7 linked regions of the Oryctolagus cuniculus genome follow. The protein of the gene in region 1 interacts with the protein of each later gene in a pairwise test. Links are inferred from orthologs where the notes say so. Each region holds a gene or a part of one and is shown in the gene's direction. Other genes may lie near its edges.

Region 1 (3,500 bases):
TTCCAGGACAGTGACAGAAACCTCAGGTTTTAGCAATTTCAAGGTCAACAGTTGAGGTTCATATTTATATGAATTTTGTCGAACTATGTTTTACTTGAATAAAAGGAGGTTTAAATGATTTGCTTATGAAAAATAAAAACAAATAGATGGGTTCTTAGCATATTCAAATTCCTGGACTCCAGGTAGTGTGAGAAGGGAGAAGTGAGGTGTCTTTCCTGTAAAGAACAGACACAGGAGCCAGCGCCACGGCTCACTAGGCTAATCCTCCGCCTTGTGGCGCCGGCACACTGGATTCTAGTCCCGGTCGGGGTGCCGGATTCTGTCCCGGTTGCCCCTCTTCCAGGCCAGCTCTCTGCTGTGGCCAGGGGGTGCAGTGGAGGATGGCCCAAGTACTTGGGCCCTGCACCCCGTGGGAGACCAGGATAAGCACCTGGCTCCTGCCTTCGGATCAGCGCGGTGCGCCGGCTGCAGCGCGCTGGCCACGGCGGCCATTGGAGGGCGAACCAACAGCAAAAGGAAGACCTTTCTCTCTGTCTCTCTCTCTCACTGTCCACTCTGTCTGTCAAAAAAAAAAAAAATTTAAAAATAAAAAAATTAAAAAAAAGAAATTAAAAAAAGAACAGACACAGGAGAAGCTATAGAGTAACCATTACCAGGAGGAGCTGGAGAGGTGCCCACAATGATTGGGGGGTTGGTGCGTGAACAGTGGAACAGACCTTGTGATCTGTTGAAAGCCCAGCAAATATTGTTACGTTGTCTGTTCCTGCAGTATTCATTTATCTGCTCTGTTTGGTCTTCCTGTTTATTGACTAGTATGGCATGGGGAGCAGCACCAAAGCCTCCTTCACCCCCTTCGTGGACCCCCGAGTATACCAGACCTCTCCCACCGATGAAGACGAAGAGGATGAGGAATCGTCAGCTGCAGGTAGGCAGAAGGCCCCAGTGTTTTAGAAACAGCTTGATTTCTTTCTGACAAAGCTCAATATAGAAATTAGTCATCAGTTCAATAATTAAGCCATTTACTGCTTGGTCCTGGTCTTAAAAAGGAAGATTTTGTGGTTATTTTTATAGAATTCCTAAAACAAAATTTTTGTTTCCTTTTTTTTTTTGTTTGTTTGCTGCTGGTAGGAAGCCAGAGGTATCCAGGAACCCTAGGAAAAGTTGTTCCTCAGAGACCTGTGAACTTACCACCTATTTCCCAAAAACAGTTTCTGGGTATAATTCTATGCACGCAGTAGACACCTAATACTAAGTGCGTGTTGAGTTGTGCTGAGTTTAAGGTGTGTGCTTCCCACCGTGAAAAGTCTGGCAGATTTTAGAGGATGGGCTTGCTTTCTAGACTTCTGCAACTAACTAATCATCAAAGTTATCTCAGGCCAGTTTTTTAAGTGATGTTGAATTTCAAAAAGCAAGATTTCTTGCATATATTACAAGAGGTAGGGAAGGTGGATTTACTTTTTTGAGATTATTATCAGTTCTCTAAACATGCCAAGTAATGCTTATGTCTATAAGCCTGTCTTGCTAGTGGATAAAATACTGCTTCTACGAATGACTTATACTTCATGCTACTAAAAATAAGTGAAAAGTAAATGTAGTCTCAGAGTGTATGTGCCTTTATTATAACACGCACTAAACAGGAGAAATAGTGTTTTGAAGCCCCTGCTCCGTTTCTCCATTGGTTATCTTTAAGATACCACTGATTTCTCTGATTCTTTTTCTCAAAGCTCTGTTTACTAGTGAACTTCTTAGGCAAGAACAGGCCAAACTTAATGAAGCAAGAAAGATCTCAGTGGTAAATGTGAACCCAACCAACATCCGGCCTCATAGCGACACACCAGAAATCAGAAAATACAAGAAACGATTCAACTCAGAAATACTCTGTGCGGCTCTGTGGGGTACGTTGGTGCTTTATTTTCTCTTATTTTACTACTCATTAATGAGCTGACTCTCAAGCATGCAGAGCCTGTGGATCTCACCATCAGAGTGACACTGGTTGAAGGGGGAGTCTTAAGGAGAGTCAAGAAAGAGGCGATTGTTCCAGAAAAAGAACACGGGCATGGCTGTGCCTTAGGCTCCTTTTGACAAGGAGTCTCTATACAGGGTAGTAAACAGCTAGAGGCAATGAAGGCTGCTACTGCTTCATTTAAAAAAACCTTGTAATGTCATTACCAGAGGGACAGTGATATAATTACTGTGCAAGAACTTCTACTTCTACACTCCCTACTGTAGCACCTGCTCGCTCATTGATTTATATTTACAAGATACAGTTTTTTATGCTTTATTGGGACCACGGAGGCAGAAGGCTTAAAGCCCTTAAAAGTCAGTCTTGGGTTACTTCTTAAAATTTGCAGGTGTAAACCTTCTGGTGGGGACTGAAAATGGCCTGATGCTCTTGGACCGAAGTGGGCAAGGCAAAGTCTACAATCTGATCAACCGGAGGCGATTTCAGCAGATGGATGTGCTAGAGGGATTGAATGTCCTTGTGACAATATCAGGTATGTTACCAGGATCACCACATTCTCCAGGTTGGCATAGGTGGGCAAAGCAATCACCTTGTTTCCAAAGAAACAGGAAGCTCTTCCATTCCCAGTCAAAAAGCAACACAATAAATTATAGCAGTATAGCCAGAGTGAGAGCGCTGGAGTTTGACTTCCAAAGAGAGGTCTTACTTCTGCATTAAAGCTAAATTATGTAGAAATCTTTTACAAAGACTGTATATTTATAGGCATTTACTGTTGTCAGGATTTGGTAAGCATGACTCTACTCAGACATTGTTTCATAAGGAGGCAACACTGGGCTCCTGGGTTGAACTTTAAAGAAAGTTTAACTCCTTGAGGAGCTGTACTTCGGTTTGGAGAAAATGCCTTCACTTGATCCTATAATTCCTTTCTTATTTTTTTAAAGATTTATTTATTTATTTGAAAGGCAGAGTTACAGAGAGGCAGAGAGAGAGAGAGAGAGAGAGAGAGAGAGAGAGGTCTTCCATCTGCTGGTTCATTCCCCAAGTGGCCACAATGGCCAGAGCTGGGCCGATCCGAAGCCAGGAACCAGTAGCTTCTTCCAGGTCTCCCATATGGATGCAGGGGCCGAAGGACATGGACCATCCTCTACTGCTTTCCCAGGCCATAGCAGAGAGCTGGATTGGAAGTGGAGCAGCCTGAACTCAATACGGGATGCCAGCACTACAGGTGGCAGCCCCAATTCCCTTTTTCTTTTAACTTTCCACGGAATGCTTAGCATTTTCAGCTCTTTTTATCCACCCCAAATAAATTCTTTTTGCATTATTATTGGAGTTCAACTCTGTATAGTCCTGCCTTCTGGTTAATTGCTGTCTTGACTGTTATAATACCAAATCAAAATTACAGCCACCGATCTGTCAGTCACCTACCAAGAGTGTAAATACTACCACAAAATTCACAGTTAGTCTTGATTATGTTGTTCGTGCCGCTTCCCCCTTCTTAAGCGTGTAACCATTTCCATTTCCTCTTACCATGAGGCAC
Region 2 (3,500 bases), on another chromosome or scaffold:
GGTCAGGCTGAAGCCAGGAAGCTGCAACTCCATCTGGTCTCCCATGTGGGTGGCTGGGGCCCAAGTGTTTGGGCCATCTTCTGCTGCTTTCCCACGCACATTGTGGGGTTGGATCAAAAGTGGAGCAGCCAGGACTTGAACGAGTACCCATATGGGATGCTGGCATGCAGGTTGTGGCTTAACCTACTATGCCACAATGCTGACCCCGCTGCCTCCACATCTAATCCAGCTTCCTGCTAATGTGGCAGCAGATGATGGCCCAAGTCCTCGAATTTCTGCCATGTCTCTGGAAGACCTGGATCAAGTTAGTGGCTCCTGACTTTTACATGGCCCAGCCCTGGCTGTTACGGGTATTTGGAAAGTAAACCAGTGCAAGGAAGATCTCTCTCTCTCTCTCTCTCTCTCTCTCTCTCTCTCTCTGCCTGCCTGTCAAATAAATAAAACCTAAAAGATAGGGAGAGGGAGGTAGAGGAGGAATGAAGGAAGAAAGAAACTAGTACTAGTTGAATTTTTGGTGTAGTTCCATACACCAGTTTAGCTGAAAAGTTTATAAAATGCTCCTCCTTTTATAAAAACCTATGTGTATAAGGCTAGATTTTCTTCACATACTTCAAACAACATCGCAATAGATTGAATATAAAAAGCATATTTGACAATCCAGACATTATAGCTTTGCAGAGATGTAAATCAGTGCCATTCTTCTCACTAAATCTTTTTGTTTTGGGAAAATGGTTGCATTTTCCAAAAGTATCATTTATGTTAATCTGTAATGGATTTATTATTTGCTAAAAGAGCTAGTAAATGTCCTTACATTTTTGCAGTTTTAATTTCTAATACAGCAAATACTGATAAGTATAATCCCCTTTGGGAACCTTAATAAATAGCAAGAGTGGGACGAGGGCCTGAGACCAAAAGGTGCTGGAGTAAGTGGTAAAAGCCCTGAGTAGAAACTGATCTGGAAGGAGAACAGAGTTCTAGTCCTGACTGCCACGCGCTTGCTGAGTGGCCTTAAGTAATGCCTGGCTTCTCAGTGTCCTGTAATCCAGCCACAGAATCCTTCTGCCTAAGCTGTCGCGGAAAAGTTAACGTCCTGGAAGAGTTCTTGCAGACAGCACCACAGTTCCTTTGTCTGGTGCTCTGGTAACGCACCGGTGTAAAACCAAATAAATAGAAGAATAAATAGAGTGAGAAAAAAAAAACAAATAAATAGAAGAATAAGTTATGAGTGAGAAAAGAGAGAATTGGGTACCTAATTGCTTCCATGTCAGATAAACTGTAAATTGCTCCTGACTGTAGTAATGCTTTTAATAAAAAGCTCCAGCCGTTGCGGCCATTTGGAGAGAGTAAACTAGCGGATGGAAGACCTCTCTCTCCCCCTCCCTCCCTCCCTCCCTCTCACTGTCTGTAACTCTGCCTCTCAAATAAATACATAAAATCTTTTTTAAAAGGGGGGGTGTGGGCTGTGATATTCAGAGGGGAAAAAAAACTCTGCCCATGCCTTAAGGCTGTTGTCAGAAGCAAATTAGAGAACAAATAGTACTATTAATTAGGATTCAAAAGAATAGTCATGTCGAGAGAAAAGCGCTTGTAGAGTTTAAAATTCAACTAGCTGACTGAGTTTGAATTGGTTATGTTCTTGTTATCAGGCAGGTATTTATTTGTGTTAGGCAGGGAAATACTCTATTATTCCCAGAAAGAGTTTTTAGAAAAATTCCTTGGAGGCCGGCACCGCAGCTCAACAGGCTAATCCTTTGCCTAGCGGCGCCGGCACACCAGGTTCTAGTCCGGGTCGGGGCGCCGGATTCTGTCCCGGTTGCCCCTCTTCCAGGCCAGCTCTCTGCTGTGGCCAGGGAGTGAAGTGGAGGATGGCCCAAGTGCTTGGGCCCTGCACCCCATGGGAGACCAGGAGAAGTACCTGGCTCCTGCCATCAGATCAGCGCGGTGCGCCGGCCACGGCGGCCATTGGAGGGTGAACCAACAGCAAAGGAAGACCTTTCTCTCTGTCTCTCTCTCTCACTATCCACTCTGCCTGTCAAAAAAAAAAAAAAAAAAGAAAAAAAAGAAAGAAAGAAAGAAAAGAAAAGAAAAAAGAAAAATTCCTTGGAGAAAAGAGTTCTGAGAATTCTAGAAACTAGAACCAAGTTGAAAAGGAAATGGAATCTGGGAGGCTGACAGCAAATGGGTGTGGGCTTAATAGGGAATTAGCTGTACCCATTTTACAGCCCAGCAGCCTGTAGGAAGATCTAAGTTTGGGGAAGGATTTGCTTTTCTCGTTCTTGAAGTCATCCTTTTATATTTCTATAACTTACTCATGTTTGTTTTTCAATCTCATCCCTGGTTCCTTGGCTGTTTTTAACTCAAAGGGCACAAGAGACTACAGTCCCCGGCAGATGGCAGTCCGGGAGAAGGTGTTTGATGTCATCATCCGCTGCTTCAAGCGCCACGGTGCAGAAGTCATTGATACGCCTGTGTTTGAACTAAAGGTGAGACATTTAAGGAGAAACTGCATGGTGGAAGAGTGGACATACAAATAACAAAGAGGATGAGAAGAGAGAGGGCCTAAAGACCCTGCTGCTGTTGTGGACACAGGCCTTCTCCAATGAGGAAGAGTTCAGCAGTGGCACGGAGCAGCCTTTTATTTGTCTTGGTTGTGTCCATGGCTTCCAAGAGAGCCCTGATGAGGAGTGGAGGTTATTCTAGCTCCTTTCCCCTGCATTTTAATGAAGATATTTTCTAGATGCATGCATTCCATATGTATATGCAACCAGTCTTCTATTGGTAGACCTTGACATTGGTTCTAGTTTTTTACTGTTTTTACTGTTACTGGCCTAGCAGTTAAGATGCACACGTCCCATATCAGAGAGCCTAAGTTCACGCCCTGCCTCCAGCTCCTCACTCCAGCTTCCTGCAAATGCTTCCTGACAGTGATTTGTACAGTGATGGTGCAAACAATTGGGTCCCTACCACCCACGTGGGAGACCTGGATTGAGTTCCCAGCTTTAGACTAGTTCAGCCCAGGGCCATTGTGGGCATTTGGAACCAGTAAATAGGGAGTGCTTTCTCTCTCCCTCACTCACTCCCACCCTCTACCCGTAAGTTAATAAGAATTTTCAAAACAAATTTCACCACTCCCTGCTTAAAGCTCAGTGATTTCCGTTATACTTAAAATACCCAAACTCTTGGGGTCCGGCGCCGTGGCTCACTTGGTTAATCCTCTGCTTGCGACGCCGGCATCCCATATGAGCGCCAGGTTCTAGTCCTGGTTGTTCCTCTTCCAGTCCAGCTCTCTGCTGTGGCCTGGGAGGGCAGTGGAGGATGGCCCGGTGCTTGGACCCCTGCACCCGCATGGGAGACTAGGTATGGGGAACCTGGCCCCTGGCTTCGGATCGGTGTAGCTCCGGCTGCGGCAGCCATTTGGGGGGTGAACCAACAGAGGGAGGACCTTTCTGTCTCTTCTCTGTGGCTCTGCCTGTCAAATAAATAAATAAAAAATCTTAAAA
Region 3 (3,500 bases), on another chromosome or scaffold:
TGAGCATTTCCAAAGAGAACAATACCACATCTTGTTTATTCAATAGAAGTAACATGAATGTTGCTCATTTTTTAGTGAATTACTGAATTTTTTAAAAAAGGAAGTATCTTTTTAGTTAATATGTATGTTACAGTTATGGAACTAATTTTATGTCTGTTTTTAATACAGAAACATATAAACCAGTCAGAATTCTATTTATATTTCTGTTTCTACCTGATGGTTTGCTTAAGTTTTTGCTTGGTGGCTTTAATATTTAATACCTGGAGATAAGTAAAATGTATTTGAATTTTTACAATAATGTGAATCCTGTTTATCTCATTATTCTTCTCAGAAAGAGGGCTCAGCACTCTTAGAAAACAACTAATGCAGTCAATATAAAGAATGTCGGCATAGCCAATGATTACGATGTAATCAGAATGGAAGATGTGACCATTAATCCATTTCATAAATGGAACAAAACCCCAGAATTGAGACCTTTTTATGTAGTTGGAAAACCTTGATTATAAACCACAGCTTAATGCATGCGACACAAGATCTTGCACGCAGCAAATAGTGGAGTAGCTGTGTACCTGATGAATATAGCATGTATTGGGTAGAGCCCACCACCTACACCTATTGGAAATAGTTAGTGGAATAAAATCATGAAGGGGTCAGAAGTATGTAGAAGATGTACTGTTAGCAGTGTTTTCCATCTCTGTGTTTCTGTGTGTGTAGTCACCGCTGTTCTTTAAGTGGAGAGGATTTAAACCGACAGTGGCAGAGTCCAAACCCAGATTTGCACCCGACAATCTACCACGCTAAAGGGCTGCTGCAGTACCTGGCCGCTGTGAAGCGTTTACCCCTGGTAGGTGGCAGTGTTTGTTCTTACTTAGTCTAATCCATGTTGTTTTTGTTGATCAGTAACTCAGTATTTTGTACGTATTTTCTGTTTAAATGATGTCAAAAGCAATTTACTTAAGATGTCTGTTTATTATCAATTTCTCGTGTAGTCACTTTGGTTTCAGATTAATATACTGTGTTTGTATTACGTTGTCAGGTTGCTTTTCTTTTTGGTCTATGAATGTTGATAATCCCTGGTTATGAATTTTGGGGGTTTAACTTCACTGTTGAACAGTACTAAGGCAATGGTGTATGTCTTCTAAATTCTCACTAGTGCAAACTTAGGAGTATTTCTGGATTCTTTTGTCAGCTCAGATACTGATGTCTCCAGTTCATACATGGGAAATGTGGTACAGGTGTGTTGTGAGACTGTCCTGAACTCTGTAAACAAACACACACACACACACACACGTATGTTCCTTGTGTTTTCAGCAGCCTTTCATTAGAATATTCTTTTATCAGTGTTTAAATTACTTCATCTTTCTTTGGGGAAGGTGGAAAAACTTTGCAGAATGGTAAAATTGACATGTGAGTCTGTCCTTTATTCTTCATTTTAAAAATGATGCTCTTAAAAATTGCATTGACACCATACCTCTTTTATGATACTTTTCATGAGAACATTTTTATATTCTTTTAAATTAATAAATGTTTTAGTAGTCTTGAGGCAGTGTTGCCTAGCTGTAGATTTGATTATTTTTTGAGTGATGGAAAGTAGATACAAAAGGTAGAGTGGGACTTGCTGCTTGATGTAGGATCTTCAAAGCATTTAGCAATTCTAGAATTAATTATAAATCCTTTCCAAAACTAGATGTCATTACTTTTATTGGTTCTACTTGTTAAGTAGTGGTTATGTTACAATAAAACGACGAAGGGACACAGACTTGTTCATTGGCGTGATATTACTTACCTTTCCTTAGCAGTATATGAATTTGAAACCTTGTTATTTTAAAAATCTGTTATTTTTTCAAGGTTTATTGTGATTATCATGGCCATTCCCGAAAGAAGAATGTGTTTATGTATGGCTGCAGCATCAAAGAGACAGTGTGGCACACCAACGAAAATGCCTCTTCATGTGATGTTGTGGAAGACATGGGATACAGGGTAATTATTACAGATGACTCAGGAGTTTTCCAGTTTCAAGCGTGTAAAACTACAGAAAGTGACTTAACATTCATGAACTACTCAGATTCGTTGATGTTGACACTTTGCCATTTATGTTTTAGATTTTTTTATTTTGAGGTTTTGCGATTTGTAGTTAGATTTTTCATCTATTTGGAATTTATTTTTGTGTGAAATGTGAGGGTGTAATTCTATTTTTCCCCTGGCTATCAGTTGTAGCCATACCATTTTCCCTAGAGTCTCTCCTGTGTTGATCTGCTGCAGCCATATGTTCCAGGCTCTCTGTACCTGCGGTCAGTCTTGGTTCTGTTTCTTTGGATACCATATCATTTTAGTGTTAAGTTAGTACCGATACCTGGTAGGGCGAATTTCTCTTTCTTGTTCTTTTAAAAAAATTACCGTGACTCTTTTATGCCTGTTATTCTTCTTTGTGAATTTTATGCCTGTCTGTGTAATTTAGTCTTTTATATTCTTCAGCAAAGATAGAAAATTTCTGCAGCCAGGTCTGCTGTCTTCATTAGTCTTATTCCCAAGTACTGTGCACGTTTTGCTCTCCTTGGAATCCTATCCACCTGCCCCCAGTTAAAACATCAGTGGAGCAAGCCTTCACAATTCTCAGATTTCCAACCTAAAAATTTCATACTCCATCCTGTGCATCCGTGTGAAAGTAAAAATGATGTCCTCAGACCTTGAAAATCTTAATAATTTACATCACAAATAGCCTTTTCCTGGAGTTACTGGAAGATAGTCTCACAAAAATAAAGGAGTATTCTGAAAACGAGGAAAGTGTGAGGAAACTAAATTGAAGAGAGAGGCCCAGGTCAGGGGTGAGAGGCAGCAGAAGAGAGTGGAATGCCAGCGTGTGGGCACAGCAGCCATGCCGCTGCCCTGCCTGCCGTCCGCGGCTCTGGAGCCCTGTGGTGTGAGGCCACGTTAAGTGAAGGAGACAGTAGGTTAGCAGAGCCCAGGACTAGTCACCAGTGAGGCGCGGAGGATGGCAGAGGGCGCACTTTCCCATGTGTTGGCCTCTAGGACACCACTGCCATCACCATCCTTCCTGCTTCTCTGTCAGCTTTCCCTCTGGGAGTTCCTACTTAGCCTCCAGAAATGAGCTTGCGGCACAGTCACGAGAGAGCAAATGTGTTTACCTTTGGTGTCCATTTTTCTTCATTTCTTTAATATTATCTTACATTTCAGGGTTGTTAAGGGGAATCTGTGTGTGTGTGTGTGTATGTGAGAGAGAGACAGAGACAGAGACAGAAAGACAGGGGCGGGGAGGGGGAAGAGTAGAGGGAGCATTTCCACAGAGTACCACAAGTATGGGAGCTTCAGCAATGTATTATGAACGTGCGGTTCTTTGGATCAGAAGTGTAAGCTAAAATCAAGGTGTGAGCAGGACTGCATAGTCTTTGGAGGCCCTAGGGGAGAACCATTTCTGTTTTTCCTCCTCCACGTGGAGAGGCTGCCTGTGTTCTTTGTGTCATGGAATCAAATGACCTCTA
Region 4 (4,143 bases), on another chromosome or scaffold:
CTGTTTAGCCTTATTTGTAAATATCAACCCATCAGGCAGGGTTCTGTTGATCTGAGAGAGGCATGGTCCAAACCATGGAACCCTCTCACATTCTGTTCTTGGGTTATCGGGGTGGGGCGGAGGGAGAGCCCTGGCGTTCGTCAACCCACTTGGAAACCCACGGTGGGCACCTTACAGAGCAGTCAGGATGTCACTTTCCCCAGACCGTGTTTTCTACAGAGCGTTTTATCCGTGGTCACGGTGATGCCACCATCTTTTCTACTCCGATAGCAGCGGTTCCAGAATTCCTAACGTAGCCTTGAGGCTGATGGGGTGTGACAGCCCGTGGGGGCAGGGGCGCTGGCCCTTGACAGACACTCGGGGAAACGTCTCCGAGAACACGGACGGGAGCAGTGCCAGTCCTCGAACCGACGGAGGTCGCCCACCGGCGCCAGGGCGACCCTACCGAGAGCAGCCCCAAAGGGAAGTGCACCTGGCTTCAGGTTGCAGGAGAGCCTGCGCGCCGGCGGCAGAGGCAGGAGTCGGGCCAACCACTTGTGGGCTGTGCTACTAAGGCAGGTGACAAAGCACTGGCAGAGGAGGACCCCATCATCCTCGCCCAGAAACTCCTCTCCCTCCCGCAAAGCTCAAGGGTTCCCACCGAGATGTCGCCGCCATCCTGTAAGCCGGGCGAACCCAAAAGGCGTCGCCACCCAAATCCAGGAGCTGCTGAGCCAACGCAGGTCCCAGACCTGCCTAAACACGCCGTCCCGGATCGTGTCCTAAACGCACACAGCGCGGGCGCAAAGAGGTTGCACGAGTCACGAGAAAATTAGGCTGCCCCTTTCCATGGCGATAATCGAATTAGCCTCAAATTAAACGTGAAATTGGCCCTCGCACGCTGTGGGGACAAAGCCCTCATTGTCCTTCCGCGCGGGTAGCAGCGGCAAGCCGTGCCCACCCCGTCCTGGCTGGTCCCCGCCGCCGGGACCCGGAAAAACCTCGGCTTGCGTGCGTGGACGCGCCTGGCGGTCGGCTCCCGCACAGAGCAGGCGCCGGGTGGGCGGCGGCGGGGCTGCGGACCGGAGCCGCGGGCAGGCGAAAGGGAGGATCCACGCGAGCGAGGGAGGCGGCGGAGAGGCGGGTGCAGGGCGTGCGGGAGAGCGCGCGCGTGCGCGCCCGCGCCTGTGCCCGCGCTCCCTCTCCCCGCCCCTCGCCCCCTCCCTGCCAGCTCCCTCCTCCCCCCGCCCCCCGCGCTCCCGCCCAGCCCCCGGAATCAGTGCAGCTGTTGCCTTGCAGGCTGCGGATTCCTCCAGTCCCTCCCTCGGCCGCCTCTCCTCCCGGAGCGAGCGCGCAGACCCGCGCCGTAGCGCCCACCGGTCCCGTCCTGTGAGCCCCGGCCCCAGCCGCGGACAGCCCCGCGGAGTCGCCTCCCGGCCCACCCGCCCGGCCGCCGAGGAGCGGGAGGAGGACGGGACCCCGGCGCCCCCACCCCATCCCTGGAGGTAGGTAGAGGCCCCCAGGCAAGAAGATGCCAACTCACTGGGGCTGCCTCTCGGGCGGGCGGGAGGAGGGGCGCGGGCCCTGGGCCGGAGGACGCCGCTGCCCTGCGCCCCGGGAGCGGCGTGGGGGCGGGGAGCCTGCAGAGTCCGGGCGGGGGCGACGCGGGGAGCTTGGGTCTCCGGTGCTCGTCGGTGCTAGGGTGATGCGGGGCGGGGGGCGGCGAGCTCCGCAGTGAGGCGGCCACACACACCCGTGCTCGCTCCCCACCTCCCGGTCCGCAGCGCCGATCCCTCCTCGCCGCCGCCGCCGCTCCCTCCCTCCCTCTCTCCCTCCGGCGGGGCGCCGCAGCCCCTGGCCCGGGGCTGGTGCGGGATTTTCTGGTGGCCTCGGGCCGGGCGGGTGGGGAGCGGGGGCGGCGCTGACAGGGCCCGGCTGCGCGCGTAACGGTACCGGCGATGCGGCCAGGCGTGGTCCGGGCTGCGCCGCGCTGCAGCTGAGCCGGAGGCGGCTGCCGGCGTCCTCCCTCGCGCCCCCTCCTCCAGCCCGCCGCCCCCTCCGCGCCCGCCCCCGCTCCCCCAGGGCTGGGCGGGAGCCTCCTCGGGGCGCGGAGCCGCCGCCGCGCCCGCCCTGCAGCTCCTGCCACCCTGCCTTCAACAGGTTTGTACCGGCGCGGGGACCCTCTGGCCTGCCCTGCGAGGTGGGCTGGACGCCCCTCTCGTCGTCACCCCCACACCACGCCCGCGGCCTGCTTTTTTTTTTTTTTTCCGGGGGGGGGAGCCTCCCTTTGTTTTTGTGGGAGGAAAGGTGCCAGGTGCTGCTATCAGATGGGGGGAGGAGCGGGGATCGGTACACCAAGCATTGTCCGTAATTTTTCTCATCCAAAGCCTGGCCAGCTAGAGAGAGAGGAGAGGGCGAGCGTGGGCAGGGGGGGAAATGGGTTCGGTGGGGTTTGTTTGGGCGGGGATGTTCCTTTTTGGCAAGATGGATGGCTCGCGTCTCTCGCCGTGATGCAGCACAATGCTGCAGTATCGCAGCTTCCCCGGGTCTCGCCGGCGGGGCTTGGCACGGCCACTCGGCGCCTGCGGCCCCCGCCCGGCCCCACCCAGGGCCCGGGCTGCCCTTGGCGGGGCCCGCGGCGCTTCTACCTCGTCATGCTGCCTCAGCTGCACGCTGAGGCGTCGGGAGGACCAGGCCACCTAGACAGGAGGGGGGGACAGTCCGCTCGGTCGGGATGACCCCCTCCCGCCCTGCCCGTTGGGCTGTGCGGGGACGGAGGGGTGCCCTGCAGCACTAATGCAGGCTGAGGGTTGCGGACCGGAATCTGATCTCCGACCAGCGGCGCCCTAGGGAGGGGCTGCAGGCAGGACAGGGCCCAGGGATGTTCGAGGACGCTGGTGCAGCTGGTGTGGGAGTCGCAGCGTCTTCCTGTGGATCGTCGATAACCTCTAACCGCAGCCCAGCTAGACATCGATTTCTTCGTATGGGAAAAGTTGCTGTTTATTAATCGGACCTGCACAGCTATGACATGACGTTTTACAATGCCCTCATCTGTCTTTGGTCGGTACAAACAGAATATGAATTTTTCCTATAGGAAACCATTTTTATAAAATGAGATGGTTAATGTATTGTGGTTCTTATGCTCCAGAGACATAAAAAAAATACTGGCGTTCAGATTCAGGGAGTCGTTTGAAAATGAATTTATGTATTTTCTGATGGGTAGTAAATGATTCCTTTAACCTGTGTTTGTTTTCACCGTTTGCGTTTTCTTTAAGTCAGATACAACTAAGCTAGTTGGATTCCTTATTAAGGAACATTAGGTAGATGAGTGATGGTAAATTGGTGTTCAGATGTCTTGATTCAGATAGCCAAGTTCAATCTCCAGGCGTGACTAATGGGATTGCGATGGTAATGGGCTGCGTTTATGTTTGTTTATATGTTTTTGGTGCATGTGTATTTTTTAGCAGATGCGACTGGGGAGGGCTCAGGAAGGGGAGGCCACCAAGGTCAGCAGATGATTCCCAGTGTTCTCTTCTGTTCCGCTGCAGCTAGTGCTCAGGGCACTTCCCCTCTACATGCCATTTTTATAATCCAGTTGTTCAGTGTGGGATTTGGCAAGTGGCATATATTGCAAATGTCAGCTCAGACTCTTCTGAGTCTGTGTGTGTGAAAAGGGAAATTTCAGACTGCTAACTGGAAGGGGAGGTCTGTGTTTCAGAGCCAAGGGTGTGCCTGCTTTTATTTATTTTTTTTTAAACTCTAATGAATCCAAGTTAATGTCCTAATGTGACTCTGCGGAGTACACATTCCTGTAAATGCATGCGCTGTATGTGCATTATTTTGAGTTTCTTTAATGGAGGGCCATTTGAAATATAGGGCTTTTTGGATTCAGGCTTCCTCATTATGCTGATTGTGAAAAATGGTACTGCATGAAGACTTCTGCGAGTATTGTTCACAAGGGTTATCCAGACGTTTTGGATTTACTATGTTGTAAGAAATATCCTGTGTTGATGTCACAGGAGGTTTAGCTGTTCTGACTTACACACCAGGTGCAGAATTCTGTTGGGTTAAGCTCTTTGTAACTCTGCCGTCCCTGGAGTGACCGACCAGACCTTCATCTGAGGGGCTGGGAAGCACAGGGACAGTGGAGGAGCCGCTGTCACT
Region 5 (4,193 bases), on another chromosome or scaffold:
CTTCCTATATCTACTCCTCCACCCCTTCCTCTGTAAAAGACCAATGCTTACATCTGTGGTGGGCACAAACTCCTTGTCCCCAAGGAGTTTGGCGGGGGATATAACTGGAGACGCAGAATTGCTGTCATTTATTGAGTGCTTACTCCGTGCTGGCTGCAGCTTAGCTTTGAGGTCTTGCCTTTGAAAAAATGATTCATTTATTTATTTTTATTTATTTGAAAGAGAGATAGAGATATCTTCCATCTGTTGGTTCACTTCCCAAATGGCTGCAACAGCCAGGGCAGGGCCAGGCTAAAGCTAGGAGCTGGGAACTCCATCGGGGTCTCCCACGTGTGTTCCAGGGGCCCATTGAGTTGGGCCAGCTTCTGCTGCTTTCTCAGGTGCGTTAGCAAGGGGCCGGATTGGAAGCAGAGCAGCCAGGATTCAAACCAGTGCTCGGATATGGAGTGCCGGCGCTGCGGGCAGCAGCTGAGCTCGCTGTGCCAGGACACAGGCTCCAGCTTTGCATTCTTCCTTGATGTTTCCAAGAGTTCCCCTCCTCCTGAATGGCCCCCACCAGGCAATATTCTTTCCCCACAACACTTAGCCTTCCCTACCCTATTATATAATTGACTCATTATGTTGATTTCTCGTCTTCCCTTCCCAGGGCCTCTAGCTTGGTACAGCTCCAGGGGCACCATTCACAGCATGCTGTGCTCCAGGGCTGCTTTTGCTGAGAATAGTCTGTGAATGGTGGTGGCTCCCAGAGCTGTGTGATTCGCAGGCCCTGGAGTTCCAGGATTGTGTGTGTGTGTGTATTTTGATTTTCGTATTCCTGTGCCCACTGTGGTGCTGCACGTAGACTCAGCTTTTGGGAGACAATTGCTGGAAGCATAAGTGGAAGAGTCCCTGCCCCTCACCCCCTAGAGCCCATTTTACTGCTGAGGAAAATGGGGCTCAACAAGTCAGGAATTTGTCTAAAACCCCACAAGCCACTGGCCCAGGTCCTGCTTGCATATCTGGTCTCACAGGCTTTGCGAAGCTGTGTGTCTGGAACTCTGGGCATTGTCCCTGCCACCAAGTAATTGCTCAACAAACAGCAGTGCCCTTGGCCACGTGGGTCAGGCCCTCCCCTCAACCCCAGACCGAGCACACGCCATCTATGGAGAGGCTGCGTGCAGTTGCACACAGCAAAGAAAAGGGGGATCTTTTGTTTTAGAAAGAAAAATCCCTGACCCAGTGGCTGGCGGCTGGAATCTGCGGGAGGCTCCCAGGCCTTTCCAGCCCTGTTCGTTTTCCTGCTGTCTTTCCTTTTGTGAGTGCTTCTTCCCCTTTCTGCTTGCAGTGAGTTCTGCTCTCCTGTAGGCTACAATGTGTCAGTTGTTATAAAATCCGGGAGGCGGAGCCTAGTGACGAGGCGAGGCGGTGGGGGAGAGCTCGCTGCTGCCGGCCCTGCAGGACGAGCAGTCGGCCCAGGGGTTCGCGGAGCTTCGGCGTTGCAGTGCGAAAACTTCCAGCTTGCTCTGCTGGCTTTGATCCTCGCTGGACATCAGATCCGAGGCGCCGAAGGGAGGGAGGATGCGAGATGACCGGCCCTCTGGCAACCTGACCATCTCCTTAGCCTTGGAGAGCGAGCCGGGAGCTGACTGCACGACCCAGGAGGCGCCCCGCCTCTCCGTGGATGTGTGTGAGTGAGCGAGCGGGTGTACTGTGTGCATGTGAGGGTGTGTGTGTGTGAGTGTGGATGTGTGTGTGCACACTACAACTGTGTGTAAGCGTGTCTGGGTGAGTGTGCGCATGCACGCATGAGTGTGTATGTGTGTGTGTGTTTGTGTGTGAGTACTCTTGGTTATTATTATTTTTTTTTTGGAAGAAAATTCTTGAAAATCTGGGGCAGGTTACCATGCTCCTAGGGTGGGTCTTCTGCAAGAGGAGCTGACCAGAGCAAGCTGCTGGAGCCATTTCTCTGCAAGAAAAGAGAATTTTCCTCCCTGAAGGAGAAGGATTTGGGCCCCTGCTCTGCAGCTCAGTGGAAGAGATTAGCCCCTAAACCTGTGAAATCGACCAGAGCAGTGTGATTACCGTAGCCGGAGAGAGGACTTGGGAAGAAAAGGAGAAAGAAAGCCAACAGCCTGCCAGTGCCTTCAGCCGCGTCGGAAGATGTCATCTCAAACTAAGTTCAAGAAAGACAAAGAGATCATCGCTGAATACGAGGCTCAAATAAAAGGTAAGCTGTGGGCTGGGAGTTTCCCCTCCTCCCCTCTCGCTCGGCCCCGGCCCCGGCCCCGGCTCTGCCCTGCTCTCCTCCCTGCCATCACGCAATGCCGCTGTGCATCAATAATCTTATTGTGCAGAGGAACGGCCGCGGCCACACAAGTCCAGGCTGGTTTCAGCTGCGGGGAGCTCGGGCTGGAGTGTGGATCAGAACACGGGCAGCGTTCTCTGCATTGCAGGTGTGCGAGGAGGATCCTACGCCTGACTTGGGGAGTGTCGCGGGCACTCCATCATCTTGGCAGTGACATGTCACTCTCAGGCCATTTTGACAGTCTTCCCCATCAGGGCAGAAGCCCCTTAGGACTGCTGTGTGTTGCCCCGATCTGCTCCCCCCGCCCCTGCTGTGGTTTTTGTTGGTGGTGGTGGTTTTGTGCCTGCCTCTCCCTCCGGCTGGAATTCACATGCATGTGCACAGGCAGGCGGTGGCATCCTTGGGCGGCACTTCTTTGTCGGTGTCTCTCGCTGGCCTGGATGGCCATGGATTAACGGTTATGGGGCTTATTGATCCAGGCTAATGCAGGCATTTAGGCGTAAAGAGGAAGCTCAGTGCAGAGAATGTGTTCCCTCTTGCTGTGCCGCCCAATGGCTGCGTGCACCAGCGTTTAGTGTCAGCAGCTTTCGTTCAAAGCCAGCACCTCAGTGTGCCGTTTGGGCTGGTAGGCGCTGCCCGGCTTCCTGGATCCCGGGGAAGCCTGCCGAGAGGGTGGGATGACCGCTGGCTGCGAGCTCCAGCTCTGGTGCCACTGGAGACAGACTTCTGGGGAAGCCGCTCCCTGGATCCCTGTGAACCAGGAGGGCGCTTCAGGGAAGGACACGACCGCAGAGCTAAAGGCAGCTGGGGTGGGGGAGTCTTCGTTGGAGCAGACGGGGGTCTTCGCTCACCCGCCACGGCCTTGGTTCAGCCTGGGCTCAATCTGCCCTGCTTACCCTTTCTCCAAGGGTGTGCCCCAAGGGAAGCCTGGGCCCCTGCCCCTCGGTGTCCGTCTTCTTCCTGACTGTGACGCTCCTTGCTGCGACACAGGGTGTGCTGTGGTCTCTGAAGGAAAGAGGGCATGCAGAGTCGTCCCCGGTGGCCATCGGGGCCCATGTTTGCCGTTACCATTTGACCGCCGAGCACCTTGGCTTACCTGGGGCTTGAGCCATTTGAGGTGGCCACACCTGCTCCCAGTGCCCCTGGCAGGGGGGCAGCCTTCCCAGGCTTCTCAGTTGCTCTGCACGCTTCAGACGCTGGGGAACTTTGGGAGGGCAGCGGCCACCAGGGCAGGGCTCTGTTTTTCTTACCCTGGTCTCGCCCACAGTCTTTGGCCTTTTAGTTCTGGTGAAGCCAGCATGCCAGTGACCACCAGGCAGACCCTGGCCTTTAAGAGCAGAGAGCCCTGCCTTCCCTGGTCTCCTCCTCCTCGGCTTGCAGCGCAGGGGCGAGCACAGGGGCTTGCCAGGTTTCAGCCTTGCTGACAGTCCAGAAGCAAGCCCTTGACCGGTGAACGCGCTCGGCCTCTCCCTACAGAAGCAGAGCCTGAGAACACACACTTGGCCGCGAGTGTGTGCCTTATCAAGCTCATCTGGCCGGTGGTGTTTTTAAGGAGGGGCTGGGGACGGAGAAGTGGGGTTCTGGCCAGTCTGGGTTTTGGGAGCCGGGTAGGAGCGGGTGCGTCTTGTGTCTGGAGGGCTGCGGCTGTTGGGCCTGTGAACTTTACTCGGAATCAGCTAAGCACCGATGCCTCCGGCGGATTCTTTTACTCTTTACCTTTCACCTTTTTAAACAACCGATCAGTACGTAACCAGGTAAGGAATTTCGTCAGGAAATTTGTCTATGCAATCTCATCTCTAACATTCTCGAAATTTCTCTGCATTCTGGTCAAGGGAATTCAATTTCATTTCTGTGGAGTTGGCACCTGCGAGACGCGGGTCCAGCGACTGCGCTGCCCCAGATCCTCTGG
Region 6 (4,012 bases), on another chromosome or scaffold:
CCCAGGCCGTCCCCCGTGTCTTCCTCCCATCCTTTAATGCTTTCATATTGGAAAAGCAATTCCACAGCCGCCCCTCAAGCCCCTCTCCCTTCAGGCGCTCCCCCATTAGGCTCCTGAATTGCACTCTCTCCTATTCGCAGGGGAAGCCCCGGTATCAGCTGTCCCCAGCTCTGCAGGGACGCCCCCATAGGCCCCTGTTCCTGCTGGCTCGTCCCAGAGGGGCGCTAAGGGCGGCTAAGAATAAGGCCCACCCCGTGCCCAAGTGAGTACCATTCGGGGGGTGTCCATTTGTTCATTCTCCCACCAGGGGCCTACGACAGTACCCAAGGGTGTTCACAGCCCAGGAAGGGGCCACTCACTCCAGACGGTGAGCAAAGAGCCCCAACGACTTGGGGGGTAAGGGCCCTGGCTGGAGCAGGCCAGAGGGCTGCCGCGGTGCCCATGTCACGGGCATCGAGCTGGGCTCCAGACCCTCAGCGGTGACCGGCACTGCAAAGCTGACACACCTTCCTAAGGGCCAGATGGAAAGGCCTGGGGGTACAAGGGAAGGATTGTTGGGGGGGGGGGGGGGGGCACTGCAAGAGGGCCTCCCGAGGGCACGGCTGAGCTGCATCCCAAACGGCACAGGAGTCTACGCAGCCGGCGAAGGCGGATCTGGGGCAGAGCCCAGCAGCAGGCACCCTCGGCGCTGCAAGGCCACACCAGGGCCCTCGCTCGGAAACCTGTGGCCAGCCAAAGCCCGTGCTGCTTCCCTCCAGGCCGAGTCCTCCGCGCCCGCGTCGTCCGCTCTGAGAAGCACGGGGAACACTCGTCCTGCCGCCCAGCGACGCGAGGGGAAGCGGGAGACCCGGCGCCGGGGGTCCCGCGGGGGCGGCCGCGGCCGGAGCCCGAGGCGCGCGCGGCCTCCCCCTGCAGCGGCTCCTGCGTCTCCCGGCCTCACGCGCGGAAGCCGAGGCCGCGGGCCTCGCCACCACGCCCTCGGGCAGGGCTCGGCACCTCCCGCCGCCGCCGCCGCTCGGACCCCTCACCGCCGCGGGAACCGGGCCTATCGCGATCGGGCCACCTCCGCCTTCCTCGCCGTGACGAATCGGCGCCCGACTGGGAAAGCATCCAAATCCAAGGAGCTTTGTGGAACGTACGGGGCCTGGAAAAAAATCCTTGGCTGTACTAAGCGTCGCCGCGTCCTCGGGAGCGGGTTTATTTTTTTTCCGAAGACAGTCGGTGGGGCCTGAGAAGAAATTGAGAAAAAGTGTGGAAAGTGCGAGCGCGGAAGCTCCGGACGTGAGGGGCGGGGCGTGCGCGGGACAAAGGGAAGCGAAGCCGGAGCTGCGGGCGCTTTTTCTGCCCGCGGGTGAGTGTTTCCTAGTGGGTCCGACCTGGTCTGGAGGGTGGCAGGTCGCGGTGCCTCCGTTCGGCGGGACCCCGGGTCCCCGGGGGTTGCTGGGGGTCAGGCTTGGCTGCGGGGCCGGAGCCGAGAGCCGGTGAGGCCTCCTTGAGGCCTAGCGGAGCGCGCGTGGGGAGGGAGTCCTCACGGGGGGCCCTCCTCAGGGGCAGGATGGCCCCTTCCGGCCACCCCGAACCCGGTCAGGGCGCCCACGCATACCCCGGTTTGGGGGAATTACTGGTAAAGTGCATCCCCCGCGGCAGGCGTGGAGGAAGCGACCTCCGAGGCAGCCCTGAGGGGCGAGGCGAGCCCAGGGCCCTCAGCCCCGGAAGGGACCCCCGGCCCGGGGCCCTGGCCCCGAGGACCCGCGGGGCCGGCTTGGCGTGAGCGGACTTGGCCTGGGTGCGGACCCCAGCTCCTGCCGCTTCCTAGCGGCGTGGTTTCGAAGAGTTACTTTGAAGTCTGCAAGACTCCCCTTTCTGATCTGTAAAATGGGACAGCAGGGTTGCTCTCCTAAGCCTGTCCTGCCTTATTCCACAAATGCTTGCCGAGCGTCTGTGTAGGGCCAGGCCGCAGGGAGGGCGTCAGGGGGTGCACAGGGGCCCTGGCCCGCTCTGAGAGCCTGCGTTCCGCCGGGGGCGAGCAGTGTCTGTGAGTGTATCTTAGCGTGAAGCGCCCAGTGCAGGGAGCTGCTGGCTGTCCCGTCAGGGCTCCACACCGCAAGGCCTCCTGGATGCTGACAGCTCGCCGGCTGAGCAGCAAGGAAATTTGCAACAAAGTCAGAGGTTCCCGCCGGGCTTTAAAGGCAGAGGGGGAAAGCACCCTGGGCTCCGACCTGCACCCTGGTGCTGCAGGTAGCTCCTGCTTATCTCCCGTGAGGCTGGATGAAGGCGCTCCAGGATAGGAGTTTGTCTTCTTTCCAAAACACGGATTTTTTTTTTAAACCCCTCGGGACTGTTGATGTGAAGGACAAGCTCTGGCCCTACTGTGAGCAGGGAACCCTAGGACAACGTCTATCAGGAATCGCACTAGAGACTGGGATACGGTGACGAGAGCAGCACCCAGTCCAGCCATATTGGCAGATGTTTTGAAAAGCTACAGTAAGCAGTATCCTAGCTCTGCATGGGAGTGCAGATGAGGGAACAGTGAATTCAATGTATTTCCAGCGAGTCCGAAGCTATCTGCCGCTTTAAAAGAATGTGAAACGCATTTAGTATACCTGTTACCTTTTCCGCTGCCTTCGGGAATACAGAGCTGCCCTGTTCGAACAGAGGTTGCTAGACCAGAAGCCAGGTGGAACTGACCGGGCGCTGGCAGCATCCAGCAGGCCTTGTTGGTGTGGACAGGTGGCACAGCACAGTGTGTGACCACTGCCTTCCCAATTACCAAGTGTTCACCGTGCGAGAGGTGGGGCAGCTTAGGACAGAACCTGAGAGTATATTTCTGATACTTAAATATCCCAGGAACTTACTCGAGTCATTTAATTCTGATGACCCAGATGACCTACAAGGACTAGTAAAATACGCGCAAGGCTTGAGTACTGAGAGATAATGTAGTTTTACTCAAAAGTACCAATCAAACTGCCCTCTTTAGGGAAACATTCTCATGCTTGCTGAGTTTTGATTCTCTTTTTTTTTCCTTTTTTTCCTTTTTTTTATTTTAGTGTCTCAGATTCATTCTTAAGGAACTGAGAACTTAATCTTCCAAAATGTCAAGTAAGTTTCAATTTTTATATTTATCAATCTATGTTAATAAGAGACTAATGCCCTAGCAAGTGGGAATTCCAAAATACTCTCATTTTTTTCTTCAAAACAGGACCATTGGTAGTTTTGTTGCATAGTATTATATCTCAGTTGTTTACAAGAAGTTATTTATTTTCTTTCAAACAGAAAGACCATCTTATGCCCCACCTCCCACCCCAGCTCCTGCAACAGTAAGTTTTAATTTTCTTGTTAATGTAATAGCCGAGTCTGGCCTTGATACAAAAACCCAGATGTCTTCCAGTGACAGTCACTCAATCATCACAGTAACAGGATGAAAATTCAGCTAAAAAACAGACTTCCTTCTAAATAAAATAACTCTTTGCCTCTGATCTTGAACCAGCCCCAACATTTAAAGAAACATACTATGAAATTCCTACCTCCTATGCTGAATTTACTTGTTTTATTTTTTTTTTTTCTTAATGGGAAATAGTTAACAAGTTTAACACTTCTTTCTCAGAGTCTTTAAGTTGATATTGAGTGAGTGCTCATTCTGGCTTTTTTTTTTTTAAACCTAACCTTCAGCTGGTTACATTTTTCTCTCCTTTCTTGTCTCTATATATAAAATTTCCATATTAAATCAAACAAAGCTCCTACTTCTATAACTACACTCATTGTAAATCTTTATTTTCAAGCTGTTCAAGTGAGGATTTCATTATCTGTGGGTCAGATTTTGCTATGAAATTTGACTCCACGCTGTAATTAGATTTGATTGGCTTGGGAATTGAGAATGTTTCAAAGTATCTGCCTGATAGCGGTGAACCGGCTTCTTCACCCAGCAAGCTCTGACCCAGCTTGGTCAGCATGTAAAATAGTTGCCCAACCCATGAAACAGATTCCACAGCAACTGTTAGGCCTCCCTGAAATG
Region 7 (3,500 bases), on another chromosome or scaffold:
GCCCCACCCTTCTTTTTCCAGCTCCCTGTCCCTCCAGATTGCCTGGTGGTGTATTTTTTTTTGTCCTTTTGTGTTTGTTTTTCTGTTTTGAGTGTCTGTCTGCAGGATTCTGTAGCCCGAGGATCTCCATTCTGCTCCCAGCTGTTCCATTGTAAATTCCTCTTTTCCCTTGGGGAATTGCAGTATTTTGTTTGGGGTGGAGGGGAAGAGAGTGTGTTTTTTTGGTTTTCTATTTTTTTCTCCTTTGCCTTTTATTTGGAAGTAATGGGATGCAGTGGGAACGGGGAGGTGGGAGAAATATTTTTGTGGGTTTTTTTTTAAAGCTCATTTCTAGGGGATGGGAATTATTTTTTAATCTGTGTGATGAATAAAGTTTTTCTGGGGGGGGGGGCGGGAACCAAACCTGCAGAGAGGAACTCAACATATCTTTGCTGCCCTTTCCCCAAAGACTCTGTGGGCTACTGTAACATACTTAAGAAATTACATTACCTGGGGCCGGCGCTGTGGTTTACTCAGTTAATCCTCTGCCTGTGGTGCCAGCATCCCATATGGGTGCCTTTTCAAGTCCCGGTTGCTCATCTTCCAGTCCAGCTCTCTGCTGTGGCCTGGGAGGGCAGTGGAGGATGGCCCAAGTGTTTGGGCCCCTGTACCCGCATGGGAGACCGGGAGGAAGCTCCTGGCTTTGGATCGGCCCAGTGCCGGCTGTGACAGCCATTTGGGGAGTAAACCAACGGAAGGAAGACCTCTCTCTCTCTCTCTCTCTCTCTCTCTCTTTCTATAATTCTACCTGCCAAATAATAAGAAAAGAAAAAAGAAATTACATTACCTGTCCTGACATTTAGTTGATGTCCTGTGGCAGCAGGTTACAGAATGATCATCTCTATGTCTCTGCCCTTGAAATAGGCTTTATTCACATCTTCCCCCAGCACTATTTAGCTTTGTTAAAAAAAATTATCAATTCATGTCCAATCTTGTTTTATTTAATCAATTTTTATTTATTTGAGAGACAGATACAGCTCCTCCATCCACTGGCTCACTCCCCAAATGCCTGCAACTGCCAGGGCTGGGCCAGGCTGAAGCCAGGAACTTTGAACTCAATGTTGGTCCCCTATATGGGTGACAGAACTCCTACTATCCAAGCCATTATCTGCTGCCCACCCCCCCAGTGTACATCAGCAGAAAGCCAGAATAGGACACAGACCCAGGCACTCTGATACAGGATATAGGTATCCAAGTGACATTCCACTGCTGCACCAAACAGCTCCACCCACCTTCCATGTAGTTTCATCTTGATGTTTGTCTGAAAGGGCATAGCCTGGGGTGATGCAAGGGTTATTTTTTGGTGAAAGGCACTAATGGTGACTCCTGGCATGCCCCTAGCGGTGTACGCCTACATGCTTAATTCTGCCTGGTCTTTTTGTTATCTTCACAGCACCCGCTTAGCCTTGATGATTCATTGGGCCACTGCATTGCAGCCTTTTAGAACATGCAGTGTCCTAAATCTTGAATATGCAAGATCAGCCTTTCACTCTATCTCTTAATGGATCAACTAAGAAAAGATCTGTTTGTCAGCCTTTAACCATATTATCTTATTTAAACAATTAGTTAGGAGAATTATAGAACTGCCAGAACATTTATTTTCTACTTTTAAGATTCTACAGTACATATGAAAAACTGTTGCAATCATTTTGGCTTTGAAAGTTCTCATTCCCAGCTCCATCACTTGCTAGTCAAAACCTCTGTGTTTCTTTACCTGGGATAAACAGCTGCCACCTCTGTCTCCTACTGCACGCTTTGTGATCTCTGCATCCCTAAAAATTTGTCAGTGATAGCATTCAGAGTAACTTTAAAATTTTACGGATATAGTGGTAGGATGCTATGACTGATATTACAACTGCTGAAGTTATTCTGGGGGGAAGGGGGAAGAACAGTGAAAGTGTGGAAGTCAGCTAAACTGCTTAAAATCGAATCCTGGCATTTTCATGAACTTTTGATTATATTAGAAAGCAAAGGATTTTATTTGTTATTGTTAAAATAGTTTTAAGTAAAACAGTTGGAGTATTGCCAGTGTGGTTATTTCACACTAAATCCAAGCTCAGTCTAGGGATCTGTTTGCAGGTAAAAGTCCTTCACCTTAGTGCTTTCGATTTTGAACCATTTTCTCTGACCAGCACTGTGGTGCAGTGGGTTAAGCCATAGCCTGCGGTGCCAGCATCCCTGCTCTAAATCCAATCCAGCTCCTTGTTAATGCACCTGGGGAAGCAGCAGAGGGTGGCCCAGGTCCTTGGGCCCTATACACCTGTAGGGGAGAACTGAGGAAGCCCCTGGCTATGGCCTGGCCCAGTCCCTGTCATTGCAGCCATCTGGAGAGTGTGAGCTAGTAGATAAAAGACCTTTCTCTGTCTCTCTTTGTAACTCTAACCTTCAAATAAATATTCTAAAAAATATATATTTTAAAGGAAATCCCAGATAAAACTATCTATTACAGTAAGACTTAAGGCCCCCAAAAAATGAGTAACAAAACTGAAATAGGTTGTTAGGGAGGTAGCTGATTTTCCCTTCACTGAGAGGACTGAGACAGAGACAATCAGGAAAAGGCATTGCTCTTTCAGCTTTTCTAACCGCCGAGTCCTAATTCTTAGGGACTGTCTCTTGCTGTGATAGTGCACTGTTTAGAGCTCATGCTTTGTTTTCACTCACTCTGGATTAAGGTGATTCTAATATAAAAATACTTAGAACTTTATCGAGCATTTCTCTGCAAAACTAACTTCCAGCTGCAAGCCCTTGAGTGAGTAACAAGGAGTAAGAAGCTAAATTGATGAATAGTATCACAGGTTGATATCTATTACATAAGCGATATCTTGGTCTGTAGAGTGTTCACAGCTTGTGAGGTAAAGCTTAAGAATAATGTAGTATTATGGGTGTATTATAGTGGGCTGAGTGTCGTACAGGTAACGAGGTCCTTTTTTTATGAAATCCGGCTACTTGTATGATTTGGAGGGTATAGTTTTCAACTGAAGATTTAATTCAGGTTAACGAGATTTTAAGTAAAATGTTATTTCTTCAATATAAAAATGAGAAGTTTTTAGGAGTCATTTAAAATTGTTTTCTTTCAGAAATCGAGCTATAGCAGATTATCTTCGTTCAAATGGCTATGAAGAGGCATATTCCGTTTTTAAAAAGGAAGCTGAACTAGATATGGTATGTTGTACTTTTTGTAGTTATTCAGTGAGTAGATTTTATTCAAACATCAGTATAGTCAATTTGTTATTAATGTGATTTACTTTTCATTTAACTTTGTTTTTACTCCTTTTTGGTGTATAATGTTTTTCATTAATTTTGGGCTCACAGCTAAATGATGTCTGGCTTGAACCATCATATTTTAATTTTTTAAAGTTCTCTTATTTTTCTTTAGAATGAAGAATTAGATAAGAAGTATGCTGGTCTTTTGGAAAAAAAATGGACATCTGTTATTAGATTACAAAAGAAGGTAACTAAGT

The links.
Region 2: the proteins of TNIK (region 1) and HARS1 interact in a two-hybrid assay, tested with the Homo sapiens proteins (2 studies listed by BioGRID and IntAct). The link is inferred for Oryctolagus cuniculus from reciprocal best matches to the Homo sapiens genes TNIK and HARS1.
Region 3: the proteins of TNIK (region 1) and AGTPBP1 interact in a two-hybrid assay, tested with the Homo sapiens proteins (2 studies listed by BioGRID and IntAct). The link is inferred for Oryctolagus cuniculus from reciprocal best matches to the Homo sapiens genes TNIK and AGTPBP1.
Region 4: the proteins of TNIK (region 1) and SPTBN1 interact in a two-hybrid assay, tested with the Homo sapiens proteins (2 studies listed by BioGRID and IntAct). The link is inferred for Oryctolagus cuniculus from reciprocal best matches to the Homo sapiens genes TNIK and SPTBN1.
Region 5: the proteins of TNIK (region 1) and SRGAP3 interact in a two-hybrid assay, tested with the Homo sapiens proteins (2 studies listed by BioGRID and IntAct). The link is inferred for Oryctolagus cuniculus from reciprocal best matches to the Homo sapiens genes TNIK and SRGAP3.
Region 6: the proteins of TNIK (region 1) and SMARCE1 interact in a two-hybrid assay, tested with the Homo sapiens proteins (2 studies listed by BioGRID and IntAct). The link is inferred for Oryctolagus cuniculus from reciprocal best matches to the Homo sapiens genes TNIK and SMARCE1.
Region 7: the proteins of TNIK (region 1) and PAFAH1B1 interact in a two-hybrid assay, tested with the Homo sapiens proteins (2 studies listed by BioGRID and IntAct). The link is inferred for Oryctolagus cuniculus from reciprocal best matches to the Homo sapiens genes TNIK and PAFAH1B1.

Annotation. Positions count from the first base shown.
Region 1 is NC_091435.1:109,213,870-109,217,369, forward strand, and holds part of TNIK (TRAF2 and NCK-interacting protein kinase), read left to right. Parts: intron 1-813; coding exon 814-925; intron 926-1,128; coding exon 1,129-1,215; intron 1,216-1,724; coding exon 1,725-1,895; intron 1,896-2,351; coding exon 2,352-2,495; intron 2,496-3,500. UniProt on the Homo sapiens protein: Serine/threonine kinase that acts as an essential activator of the Wnt signaling pathway. Recruited to promoters of Wnt target genes and required to activate their expression. May act by phosphorylating TCF4/TCF7L2.
Region 2 is NC_091437.1:28,312,302-28,315,801, reverse strand, and holds part of HARS1 (histidine--tRNA ligase, cytoplasmic), read left to right. Parts: intron 1-2,363; coding exon 2,364-2,483; intron 2,484-3,500. UniProt on the Homo sapiens protein: Catalyzes the ATP-dependent ligation of histidine to the 3'-end of its cognate tRNA, via the formation of an aminoacyl-adenylate intermediate (His-AMP). Plays a role in axon guidance.
Region 3 is NC_091432.1:136,379,261-136,382,760, reverse strand, and holds part of AGTPBP1 (cytosolic carboxypeptidase 1), read left to right. Parts: intron 1-714; coding exon 715-844; intron 845-1,848; coding exon 1,849-1,980; intron 1,981-3,500. UniProt on the Homo sapiens protein: Metallocarboxypeptidase that mediates protein deglutamylation of tubulin and non-tubulin target proteins.
Region 4 is NC_091433.1:148,185,219-148,189,361, reverse strand, and holds the start of SPTBN1 (spectrin beta chain, non-erythrocytic 1), read left to right. Parts: upstream 1-1,343; 5' UTR 1,344-1,484; intron 1,485-2,025; exon of another isoform or gene 2,026-2,139; intron 2,140-2,582; exon of another isoform or gene 2,583-3,039; intron 3,040-4,143. UniProt on the Homo sapiens protein: Fodrin, which seems to be involved in secretion, interacts with calmodulin in a calcium-dependent manner and is thus candidate for the calcium-dependent movement of the cytoskeleton at the membrane.
Region 5 is NC_091441.1:117,330,229-117,334,421, forward strand, and holds the start of SRGAP3 (SLIT-ROBO Rho GTPase-activating protein 3), read left to right. Parts: upstream 1-1,393; 5' UTR 1,394-2,139; coding exon 2,140-2,206; intron 2,207-4,193. UniProt on the Homo sapiens protein: GTPase-activating protein for RAC1 and perhaps Cdc42, but not for RhoA small GTPase. May attenuate RAC1 signaling in neurons.
Region 6 is NC_091448.1:21,886,080-21,890,091, forward strand, and holds the start of SMARCE1 (SWI/SNF-related matrix-associated actin-dependent regulator of chromatin subfamily E member 1), read left to right. Parts: upstream 1-1,212; 5' UTR 1,213-1,351; intron 1,352-3,047; 5' UTR 3,048-3,092; coding exon 3,093-3,099; intron 3,100-3,273; coding exon 3,274-3,317; intron 3,318-4,012. UniProt on the Homo sapiens protein: Involved in transcriptional activation and repression of select genes by chromatin remodeling (alteration of DNA-nucleosome topology).
Region 7 is NC_091448.1:48,125,360-48,128,859, forward strand, and holds part of PAFAH1B1 (platelet-activating factor acetylhydrolase IB subunit beta), read left to right. Parts: intron 1-3,116; coding exon 3,117-3,201; intron 3,202-3,415; coding exon 3,416-3,490; intron 3,491-3,500. UniProt on the Homo sapiens protein: Regulatory subunit (beta subunit) of the cytosolic type I platelet-activating factor (PAF) acetylhydrolase (PAF-AH (I)), an enzyme that catalyzes the hydrolyze of the acetyl group at the sn-2 position of PAF and its analogs and participates in PAF inactivation.